Linked DNA regions of Arabidopsis thaliana. The protein of the gene in region 1 interacts with the protein of each later gene in a biochemical or structural test. Each region holds a gene or a part of one and is shown in the gene's direction. Other genes may lie near its edges.

What was found.
Region 2: the proteins of RKP (region 1) and ICK5 form a complex in vitro, tested with the Arabidopsis thaliana proteins (one study listed by BioGRID).

Annotation. Positions count from the first base shown.
Region 1 is NC_003071.7:9,363,249-9,371,489, reverse strand, and holds the start of RKP (uncharacterized protein), read left to right. Parts: upstream 1-2,028; 5' UTR 2,029-2,367; intron 2,368-2,546; 5' UTR 2,547-2,661; coding exon 2,662-4,146; intron 4,147-4,257; coding exon 4,258-5,064; intron 5,065-5,176; coding exon 5,177-5,337; intron 5,338-5,467; coding exon 5,468-5,606; intron 5,607-5,776; coding exon 5,777-5,860; intron 5,861-5,969; coding exon 5,970-6,251; intron 6,252-6,329; coding exon 6,330-6,461; intron 6,462-6,624; coding exon 6,625-6,824; intron 6,825-6,908; coding exon 6,909-7,122; intron 7,123-7,196; coding exon 7,197-7,544; 3' UTR 7,545-8,241. UniProt on the Arabidopsis thaliana protein: E3 ubiquitin-protein ligase that promotes the ubiquitination and proteasomal degradation of KRP1 and KRP2.
Region 2 is NC_003070.9:18,364,754-18,368,896, reverse strand, and holds ICK5 (Cyclin-dependent kinase inhibitor family protein), read left to right. Parts: upstream 1-2,152; 5' UTR 2,153-2,322; coding exon 2,323-2,616; intron 2,617-2,734; coding exon 2,735-2,787; intron 2,788-2,872; coding exon 2,873-3,058; coding exon of another isoform or gene 3,059-3,062; exon of another isoform or gene 3,063-3,135; coding exon 3,136-3,205; 3' UTR 3,206-3,561; downstream 3,562-4,143. Other genes in the region: PREP2 (presequence protease 2), read left to right, coding at 18-89, 348-492. UniProt on the Arabidopsis thaliana protein: Binds and inhibits CYCD2-1/CDKA-1 complex kinase activity. May target specifically CDKA-1.

The DNA of each region.
Region 1 (8,241 bases):
CTTTTATGTATCTCCAGTCTCAGTTGGATGTTTTGTTAATAAATAAAATATGGCTCTTGCACAATGGGCATGAAACAATCTAGTACTTTACTTGGACTTCAACTGTCGTTACTTATGCTTTGCTTTCCCATAGAAAAATACAGCATATATATATAGTAGAAGCCAAAACAGAGCATAAAGATCACCATTTAAACAAAGCATATTAATGATAATATGATGATTAAACATATAAAGTATCAAACATCATAACATCATCATTAGCATCAACGTATCTCTTTTCATCTACTTAACTAACGCTACATTGAACACCAAATCTCTTTGTTTTCTTCCCACTAAAACAATGAAAATAGTACCAAACATTGAAAATCATCTACTCAAATTAAGAGGCAAATCATATCACTAGCTTTTAATCAAAAGTAAAAGCATAATCTTACCATTATCATTATCATCATGATTATATTCCATACATATTTTTGTTAATCACTACACCAAAACTATGCATTTTAGTATAGTTAGAACAGGGAAATCGTCCATAGAGCTGAGGTTTGGCACATTTGAAAATCTTTATGTTTTGTAGCATTTTTACTAAGTTTTGCTACATTGAATGACAAGTTCAACCAAAAATATTTACCAAAAAAAAAAAAACAAGTTGCTGTTCAACCAAATTCCCAAAAGTAAAAGTGGCAACGGTTGCAAAATTATTCCATCACACGGAAACGCAGCGTTTTAATATTTCCCTTGAAGACAATATAATGCCGTCTTAAGTCACTATCTGAATAACAGAGACATCAGCCAGTGAAGTGGCTGTTGATCAACGTGGAACACGTGCACGATACTTCTTTTATTAGTCATTAGCCGACAGTGGTCTCATAGCTTTCCACGTGGTGTGTTTAGAGATCGAGTTGATATTTTCAATTATTTATACTCTCAGGTCGTTGACAAGGTCGTGTGTCTATCGGAAGTTTGCAAAAGCTCCGGTGACTTGTCAACAACTGCTCCGTCACGTTCCGTCGATTTCAATCGTCTTTACATCCACTTGAATAGTTTTCGTGCATACATTATAGTAACACTCTTCTTTAATTTGCATAATGTATTAAGAATATACGAATGGCTTTTGACAATTGATTTACAAATAAAGTTTTCTAATTAAGTCAACTCCAGATTATTATTAGTTCTTGTCAACGAATGATACCAGTATTATAATTGTTTGTGAAACCCGTTATGATTATAGAATCTACAAATAGGAAACTTACATCTAAATTTTTCTTTACCAAGGAAACCTGATAACTAGATTCATATTTTTTTTTTTGTCATAAGATATTATTAAGGACTTAAAAAAAATAATTCCGAGAGAAATTATTTACAAAAGTGATATATAACTTAAATTTACATTTCTTTTTAGATTAATCATAATTATATCATATTTTAGATCCACTTAAATAAAATACAGTAAATACGCTATTCGACAACTGTAATCACATTCGAAAATTTCACGGGTAGTCGAAACCAAATCATCTTTGATAATAAACAATAATATTTTTTTTTTTTAAACTAAAAATAATAACTATTTAAAAGCGATAAACAAAACTAATTTTTTTTAACAATGTTTTTAGCAAAAATTTTACACGAAAATCTCATAATACTAACACTAAAATGAAAAAAAAAAGAATATTCAAACAATACCATATTATTTTTGTGATTTTTTCTTTAGTTAGTGGTGATACTAACATTCTTTTAACTTTACCTTTAAATTGCTAAGTTTTACAGCACCTTTTTTTTTGTTATTTTTGATTAATCCAAATAACAGGAAATATCTTCAGTAAAACAAATCTCATAATGTTAACACTAAAAAAGAAAACAGAAGGAGAAAAATTAAAAAGCGTTGTTTACTTTTTGTAATTTTGTAATTTGATTTAAGAACACGTTAACATCTACTACGCCACGTGTCAAAATAAACGTAAGACCGTCCGCATCGTAAACTTTCCTCCTTCTCCTTCTATAAAAGTTACCAGACCAGACCGTCGATATAATACGTCATCAGCCACGTCATCGACACCGACACGTGTCGGTAAAAAACCCACACGCCACATGATCCATTGGCTCGTTCGGTGTTAGCCACCGGTCTTCTGATTCCTCTCTCTCTCTTTCTTCAATTCTTCTTCTCTGTTCCCCCAAAAATATTGGGCGCAAAATCTCTCTCTCTCTCTCTCTTCGAGGAAGAAGAAGAAAAAAAAAGAAGCGAAAAGTCTTCTCCTGTTTAATTTATTTGAAAAACCCTAGCACAAGTCCGCCGTCTTTGGTTTGAAGAATCTGGGTATTGATTGATTTTGGCTTCTGGGTTAATCGCTTTTCATGTCAATTTCTCCGGTGAGTTTCGAATTTTCCGTTCTGATTTTGGTGTTTTTTTCTTTCTAATTGATTGAAATTGAATAGCTTTCTCTTTTTGTTAATCCCTGTTCATCACATAAATTTGAAAGCTTTTTGATTCAAGTATTGATTTTTGGAAACTTATGCTACTTTTTTTTTTGTTCTTCTTCTCTTCACAGCTTTTCTGAATCATTTTCGAATTGTCTCTGATGAGGTCTCGTTGAATAGATACAGACTTTGGTTCTCTTGTAATTGGTTGTGTTGAAAGCGCGTTTGGTTCACAATCAATGCCATATGGCTGAAGACAGCCTACGGGTTGGTATGATTTCATCTGGTTTGGCTGTTTTACTGAATGGTGAAGATGCTAAAGAAAATTCCTCGAAAGCTCGTATTGTTCCACATTTTGATTATTCTGGTCACCGGCCTTTAGAACGGACTATCGAATTCATATTTGGTTTAGCAGAAAAGTCGGTTGGTCCATTGGATGGTCAAGTAGACAGTAGCTTGATTAGAGCTGTGATTAAGAATCAGTTCTCGAAGCTTCATGGTGATTTGGATGTTTCAGTTAGTCAGAGAGAAGGAATCAGTGTAGTTCATCATGGTGTTGGACCTCCTATTGTTGGCCTTGAAGAGTTTAGCATATGTGGTGATATCAGGATTGTGAAGCCACCTCTTGTATTGGAGAGCTTAGCACTTTTCAGTAGCGCCAGGGCTAATGCTTGTATTTGGAAAGGAAAATGGATGTATGAAGTCGCTTTAGAGACCTCGGGAATTCAACAACTTGGATGGGCAACACTTGCTTGCCCTTTCACTGACCAGAAAGGTGTGGGTGATGCTGATGATTCATATGCTTTTGATGGTCGAAGGGTAAGCAAATGGAACAAGGAAGCTGAACCTTATGGTCAATCATGGGTTGCTGGGGATGTCATCGGTTGCTGCATAGATTTGAACTGTGATGAGATTTACTTCTACAGGAATGGTGTCTCCCTCGGGGCTGCATTTACTGGTATTAGAAAACTTGGACCTGGATTTGGGTATTACCCTGCTATATCTCTCTCCCAAGGTGAGAGATGCGAGTTAAATTTCGGCGCTTACCCGTTTAAGTACCCTGTTGACGGTTTCCAACCTCTTCAAGAAGCTCCAACTCGATTTTCATTTGCAACAGAGCTACTACGATGCTTCTCAAGACTGCTGGATAGGCCAGACCGCTCATTGGCTGATACATTAAGTCGACTGAGGAGATTTGCCTCAGTCGAAGAACTCTTTTGCCCTGTTTCGTCTGCCATATGTGATGAGTTCTTTTATATACTTGAGCAAGACCCTTTGTTGGCGGAGTACTTAGGACGGGGTGCATTTCTGTCATTCCTCTTGGAGACTTTCAGAACTCAAGCACCGCATGATTCGTCAAGTTTAGACAAAGTTCTTGATGTGTTTCTTGAGTTCCCACAATCTCATTTGATCTTTGAGCATGTAGTAAACGCTCTGGCTTGTGGCTGCAAAACAGCGACACTGATTTTAACCGAGTGTCCATACTCCGGACCTTATCCCTATCTGGCGCTGGCTTGTCATTTGTTTAAACGGGAAGAATTGATGGTACAATGGTGGAGATCTTTGCATTTCGAGTTTTTGTTTGAAGGTTTCTTGTCATGCAGGAGTTCCAACAAGCATGACTTACAGCACTTAATGCCTGTTGTTTGGTGGCCTGGATCCTCTGAAGATATATCCTACGAGAGTAGCATGGGATTTACGATCTCCGCTCTCTCTGAAGCCATTAACAAGGTATGATAGGTTATTTCTGACTTATTTTATTTTTCTATAAATAACCGCTGGCATAAGTCTCCTCTGGAATCTGAGGAACATAATTAAGTAATTCTTTCTCTTGGAATTCAGATTGAGGAGAAGCAGAGGAACCTCTGTCTCTTGGTCATACAATTCATACCACCTGTATCACCTCCCCAGCTTCCTGGTTCAGCTTTCAGGGGATTCCTACAGAACCTTTTATTGAAGAACAGAGGCGCAGATAGGACTCTGGCCCCTTCTGGAGTTACACGCAATTCGGTTCTTGTCTCTTTGTTCTCAGTTATACTCCACTTCTTGTCAGAAGGTTTTGCAATGCTGAAGAGTAGTGAAGCCGTCCATCACAATGTTGGTTTTCTTCACAGAGGTGGTCAGCAGAAGTTTCCATTGAGTTTGTTTCTTAAAAATGATCCACATCGCGCTGATATTACTAGGCTTGGCGGGCTATTTAGTCATATATCGAAGTCCTACCCCACAGATGATCAAGAAGAAGAAATAATGCGGTGGGAAGAAGGTTGTATGGATGATGAACAGAATAGAGTAACTCACGCGACTGAGCAAAAGCCATGCTGTTGCTTAGCTTATGATACCGATCTTACTAAATCCTTGAAGGATCGAGGAAAAAATACTGCTCAAAGTTCTCGTGGTCGATGCAGTTCCATTCCTGAGAGATCCTCTCATGTTGCTGCAGAATGTAGTGCTGGAAGTTTCAGTGAAGAAATAGACGACAAACCTAGCACAAGTAATCAGTCTGACCCTGACTTTGGTTATCGTCCAGTAAGATTTATGCGGACTGCACTTCAAGAGAGTAGAATCTCATCTGCTATACTAAGCGAAGAAGAACTATTGGATGCTCTATTGCTATTATACCATATTGCTGTTGCTCCAAATTTTAAGCAGGTAATTTTAATTATTCCCGTCTTAATTAGATTTTGTTGTATTTTTTGTACGATACATACCACAACCTGAATAAGCTTGAGAGGCTGATAGGTTCTCTTTCTGCTTTTCTTAGGCATCATATTACATGTCTCACCAATCGCAATCAATATCACTTCTTGAAGAAACTGATAAACAGATAAGAGAACGGGCTTCTTGTGACCAAATAAAGCGCTTGAAGGAAGCTCGCAACAACTACAAAGAAGACGTGATGGACTGTGTTAGACATTCCGCATGGTAAGTTTCACTTAACTCATGGATTGCGTTAACTCCAGAAGGAGGGTGTAGTGAAGAGGTTTCAGTTATGATTCATGTGAGGCAACATTACAATCTATATTTTTGCCCTCATTCTGAATCATTTTGTCAGGTTCCGCATCTCATTGTTCTCTCGATGGAAGCAAAGGGGAATGTATGCATTGTGCATGTGGGTTGTACAGCTACTTCTGGTTCTCAGCAAAATGGATTCTGTGTTTGTTTATATTCCAGAGTTCTACCTTGAATCTTTGGTAAACAGCTTTTGCACATTTCTGGTACTTCTTGATATAAATGTCAAATGAACATGTTTCAGTTTCTCTTTGATCAAAGTTAGTAGATCTTCCAACAACTTATTCTGTTGCGTTTTCTCTGTTTCTCAATGAAATCCCTAAGTTTACAATCTCTTTGATTATTTCCTCAGGTAGACTGTTTCCATGTGCTTCGCAAGAGCGATCCTCCGTTTGTCCCATCAACAACATTCATCAAACAAGGACTTTCATCATTTGTATGCCTAAACTCTTATCACACAATCTTTTTTGTCTGTTATTTTTCCTCATGGCTGACTGTTAGTTGATTAGCTCTAACATGGTCATTGCAAATTCTTGGGTTTCCAGATCACTTTCGTAGTTACACACTTCAACGATTCAAGGATATCGAATACAGATCTTAAAGATCTACTTCTCCAGTCAATATCCGTCCTGGTACAGTACAAAGAGTACTTGGAAGCTTTCGAGAACAATGAGGCAGCTACTCGACACATGCCTGCAGCACTACTGGCAGCGTTTGACAACAGATCTTGGATCCCTGTCACAAATATATTTCTTCGTCTTTGCAAAGGTTCTGGGTTTAGTTCTTTAAAGAACGGAGAGTCTTCGTTTTCGTCTACTGTTTTCCAGGTTGGTTAGATTGATTTGACTTTGTTCCTATCTGATCCTCAGTCTACATATTGGATTTTGATTTTCTTTTTCGTCTAGGCGCTTCTACGAGATGCTTGTATCAATGATGGTGAATTACTTTCTACTTTTCTTAACCGTCTATTCAACACACTGAGCTGGACCATCACTGAATTTTCTGTCTCGGTGCGAGAAATGCAAGAAAAGTATCAGGTCAGATTATAAGCTTGGATCATTTTCATCGATTAAGTTTTCGTAGTAATTGAATAGTTTTCCCTGAATGATTGTGGTTCTTATTCTGCATTTCCCTTACAAGTTTTTGTAGTACTCTATTTGCTTCTTTGTCCGGTTTTTGATTCGTCTTGTCTTTATGCAGGTAATGGAGTTTCAGCAAAGGAAATGTTGTGTGATATTTGAGCTTTCAAGCAATCTCGCAAGGGTCTTAGAATTCTGCACTTACGCAATGCCACAAGCATTTCTTGCTGGGACTGACACGAATCTTCGTAGGCTCACTGAGTTGATTCTTTTCATCTTGAATCACATGACCTCAGCAGTAGATGACGAGTTCTTTGATCTGTAAGTTCAAAAATATCCCAAATAGCTCTAACTTTGTTGGAAATCGCTAATTTTTAATTGATATTGTTTTCTTCTTGTTTTGAGATCTGTCAGGTCACTTAGACGGCAGGGACAACCTTCAGAGAAAGTTAGCCGAGGGATCTTATTAGCTCCTTTGGTTGGTATAATCTTGAATCTCTTGGAGGCTAGTGAAGACTCAAAACCAAAGCAACAACATGATGTAATTGGTCTTTTCGCAAGCATGGACTGTCCCGATACAGTCTATTACGGGTTTCAGTATCTCTTGGAATATAATTGGGTACGTAAGCTCTTAAATCTAGTTTCTGCTCGTTTGCTTCTCCTACTGACACAGCTTTTCAAAAACATTTTCAGGACGGTTGTGTAAGCGGGGATGATGCCTATGTAAAGAAACTTGGACAGCTTGAGAACTTCTTGAGCCATCTCATAAACCGGGCTTCATCGCAAGAACCCGAAAGAAAAGAAGAGTCATTCAACAAAGACACGACAGATATAGAAGACAACACTTGCTGTATCTGCTACGCGGGGGAGGCTAATGCAATGATTGCTCCGTGTTCACATCGATCATGTTATGGCTGCATAACTAGACATCTTCTCAACTGTCAGAGATGTTTTTTCTGCAATGCTACGGTGATAGATGTTATAAGAGATAAAGAAGAAGAAGAAGAAGAAGACGATGATGGTCACAAAAGAAGCACATGAAGCTCGGGTTAGTTGCGGTTACAGGTTGTTGATGTAGTAGACACAGAAGGAAAGATCTTTAGGATGGGAGCAAAGGAAGAAGGATTATATAGATTTATAGGATAAATAAGAAAAAACACAAACAAACAAAGGTCTGTGATAATTTTGTAGACCTGGTCTTGTGATCTCTAGGCCTCTCTTTTTTCTTGTATATATGAGAATGAAATGGAAATTATTTAAAGGCTCTCTGTTTCGCTTGGGTTCTTACTTTTCTCAACAGTGTGTTTTGGAATTACAGCGGATTTGGTGGGTTAAACCAGTAAATCGGTTACCCGGTTCGTAATTAGGTTCACTTACACTTGTTTTTTTGTTCACTTAATACTCTCAAAATCCAAATTTATAGGATCTCATTAAACTAAAAAAATCTGATAAAATTTTGGTTCAATAAGTTTTATTTGTTGTATTTTATTTAATTTTCTCAAATTTCTTTGCATAATGTATGTTTATGTAGTTTATTTTGATTGATTGTATTCTGCAATATTTTTTCTATTGGTTCAACTCTTTTAACTTTATATTACATACTAATGTTTTCCTATATAGATATAACAAAACATTTATCATTTTTTTTTTAATTTCCCAGTGTTAAACTAAAAAATCTTACACTCAAGTTAGATAAGAGCAACAGAAGAATATCGATATAAACGATGAATATAATTTT
Region 2 (4,143 bases), on another chromosome or scaffold:
CCCATCTCTATCAACAGTTTGTTGAGGCATTTACTTAATGTAACCGACGAAGAGAGGCAAATAAGGCGTGAAGAGATATTATCTACAAGGTTAACAGCATTCTCTCATTTTTGCTTTAGCGTATATACAAATCAATTTATACAACTTTTTCACTTTCCACATAATGGTATGCCGCGGATATCCTGTGGGGATTTATGAAATCCTTGGGGACAATGTTGTGATCTGAGTTTTGTAGTGTTAGGAGTTTAACGACTTCTTTGAATATTACCAAATAGCCAGTTGCAATTCTTCGACATAGTTATTATCAAACAGATAAGAAAAGTAACTTCCATTTTATCCTTTTTCAGTTTGAAGGACTTCAAGGAATTCGCAGAGGCAATAGACTCTGTTAGTGATAAAGGCGTTGCAGTGGCCGTGGCATCACAAGAAGACATTGATGCAGCAAACAGAGAACGCTCAAATTTTTTCGAGGTGAAGAAAGCAGCTCTCTGAGTCTGAGACCCTCTTAGAAAGTAGCTTGTCACAATGAGGAATGACTCTTCTTAGGTTCACGGTACGACGCATCAAATCTCTAAGCTCGTACTTATTTGTGTTTTACTTCACTGTGTTTTGTATAGTTATATATGCCAACATCATGACTTATCACAGTTGAAATTTAGCATTTTTACCTGAAAACACAGGCTTTAGCTACTGTTGCATTTGAGTTGTTACTTTTTTGGACAATTTTTCTTTCGTTTTAGCCTTTGCTCTTTAAGAACTAAGAATCCTAGTTCTATTTATATTCCATTATCGTATCAAGATAAGCTCTCGAGGATTTTCCTGTACCTTTTAGGTTATAAAACCAGTTTCGTTTGATTCACATTTTGTTGAAAATGATGAGTCAAAATAGACATTATATTCATCATTGGCTGGGATCGGATCGAACAGTGCCTGTTCTTGTTAAAACAAATGGCTCTCAGTCATACAAAAGATGCATCTATTATTCATCATGTGTCGTGATCTTGTTATTGTCATACTATCTAATGTGACTACTCATGCTTCATTTGTTTTTGTTTGTGTTTTTGAAGTAGGTCGTAGGTCTTAAACATTTCCAAGTGAAATTGAAACGCTTATTCTTTTAGGACATTGGCATCAAGATCTCTATGTTACTTTTATAAGTGAATTAGTCTTTAAAGTTACTTTTTATTAACATTGATTCATAAAGATAACTTTTGTAAATTAGCCCATAAACAAAGATACTTGTATTGATGAATCTTCTTCGTCTCATCCTTTTACCATTATCCTTGAAAATTCTGATTACATCATTATTATGGATGAAAATTAACGAAGAGTCTTCTTTTTTTTCTTGTGATAAATTTTAAAATTATTGAAGAAGCAGAATCGGACAATTGAAGCCTAGATTATTTTTTATTTATTTTTTGCAAAATGAAGCCTAGATTCTAATATTTCATATTTTCGATATTGTACATGTGTAACTTTAAAAAAAAAAAAAAAAAAATCCCAAGTAAATGCTTGTTAGCACAATTATTATGTAACGGTCAATTATTGCTCATTATTTCACTGCCAAAAAATAACGAAAATGGTCCCATTTTATTAGAAGGAAATAAACATGTTGTATGTGTAAAATTCTTAACCCATTTTTGGACATGTACAGATTCCATGTAAAAGCTGGATTTTAAGTTGGTTTTTTGTTGTTGTCATTTAATAAGTACTATTTAATTGATTGTATTTATAGTTCTGTCTCCATGTGAAGCTGCTCATAAGAAAGTGAATGCTTTAGACTCTAATCTATGTGCCTAGTTATATCCTTAAGAAGTTGATATTTAGAGCTTATGATAGAAATTATGAATCAGCAACCATCAGAATTATTTTTTTTGTTTTGACAAATGTATTTACGTGTAAAAGAATATAAGTTTAAGAAATCTATAGTAGAAAGTAGATTAATTAACAAAAATTACTGTCACAACTCACATTTCTACAGCTTATAGGACGACGTTTTAGTTTTGGGTTGCTTTAAAAGGAAGCTAAAAACGGCAAAAAAGACGCGTCGTTTAGAATCCCGACGGCGTCTACGCTCCGTAACGACGCCGTTACCTGCTTCCCCGTGAACGGGACTCAGTTTAAAGGACCCCACTCAAAACCGGCACAACAACGGCCCATCCGCTATAGGCAAGGCCCAATAATTAAATCTCAGCCGTTGAATTAATCAACGGCTCTAGATCCTTCATCTTCCTCTCCCCCAAATACCCAAAACCCTTCCTCTGTTTTTATTAACCAGAGAAACCCCAACTTTTTCATAAACTCTCTCCAGAGAAAACTATAATGAGCTTGAGAGAAATGAGCGAAACAAAACCCAAGAGAGATTCTGAGTACGAAGGATCAAACATCAAGAGGATGAGACTCGATGATGATGATGACGTTTTACGCTCACCGACGAGAACTCTTTCTTCTTCTTCCTCTTCTTCTCTGGCTTACTCGGTTTCAGATTCCGGAGGTTTCTGCTCCGTCGCGTTATCTGAAGAAGAAGACGATCATCTAAGCTCAAGCATCAGCTCTGGTTGTTCCAGCAGCGAAACTAACGAAATCGCTACTCGTCTTCCATTTTCAGATCTGGAGGTGAAATTTCGAAACTCGAGATTACAAATTTTGAAATTTCTCTGTTTCACAATAAATGCTCTCTGAGCAAGATCTGATTACGTTTTTTTGGATTAATTAATTTTGTTTCCGTTTTCAGGCTCATGAAATCTCCGAAACCGAAATCTCAACGTTACTCACCAACAATTTCAGGTTAATTACTAAAAAAGACGTTTCAAAGATTTTTCAATTTCTTCATTGTTTCGTCTATAAATTCATAATTTTTGGAATTTCACAGGAAACAGGGAATTTCATCAAGCGAGAATCTGGGAGAAACAGCAGAAATGGACTCGGCGACGACGGAGATGAGAGATCAGAGAAAGACGGAGAAGAAGAAGAAGATGGAAAAATCACCGACGCAGGCAGAGCTTGATGACTTTTTCTCGGCGGCGGAGAGATACGAACAGAAACGATTCACAGAAAAGTGAGTCTTTTTTAGACCCACACACACGCGCATGATAGCAGAGATCCTTAACTTGCAGTTGTTTAAAACATGTATAGGTACAACTACGACATCGTCAATGATACGCCGCTTGAAGGTCGGTACCAGTGGGTTAGTCTGAAACCTTAGAAGCCATGGAAGAACAAAAAAAAAAAGAAAAAGAAGAAGAGACAGTGCTAAAGTTACACGTCCTAGTACTGTGATTTTTGTCACAGACAGAAGAATTTTTAGAGACATTTCATTGTACAGTTTTTATCTAATTTTAATTTCATCATTATCTTCATCTGTTCTTCGTACCAAGAGTTTTTTTTTTTAACTAGAAGTGTTAACATATATTTGAGTTTAATTCTCTCTGTCTCGGTGATATTGTTGGATTGTTCAACAAAAAAAGTGGGGTTACAACAATTAAAAATTGGAATTATTGTGTCAGTAAAGTTTCACTAATTTTTGTCAGTTTTGTTGTAGTGAATTTGGTGTTGTGCACATTATTAGTATTTTCATGAAATTGGGAGGATTTACGTATTTATGAATTTGGAAAACTATTTATTGTTTTGATTCTCACCTTGGATGTTTATAGAAATTGTTTTTTTCTCTTCTTTTTGTTGCTTGTACTTTATATGCTATTTTATAACTTTTTTATTTTTCTTGTTTCGACAATTGTTTTAGTGAAACAATAATGGTAATAGGAAGAAGAAAATAAATATAGATTTTAAGGAAAATGGGTAAAATTAGAAAACCATAACGGTATATATATATCATACACTTGGTATGTACTTTCTCTATAGTTCGAATGAATATTCCTCTAATTTCCTTGAAATAATTTATTTTATTATTTTATCAAGAAAACTTTATGAACAAAGTTGAATGTTTATTTATCAAAAAAAAAGAAGCAAATTTGAAAGCTTTCTCGATGATTGACGTTTTTTTTTCTTTCTGAAATTTAATTTTCAAATTATAAATGAGCTTTACGGCAAAAAATTAAAACTTTAAATGGCAAGAATACAAAAAAGGAAGAGAGAGAAGAGAATAGAGAGGATCTCATCATTACCTGATTCCGTTGGGATTAT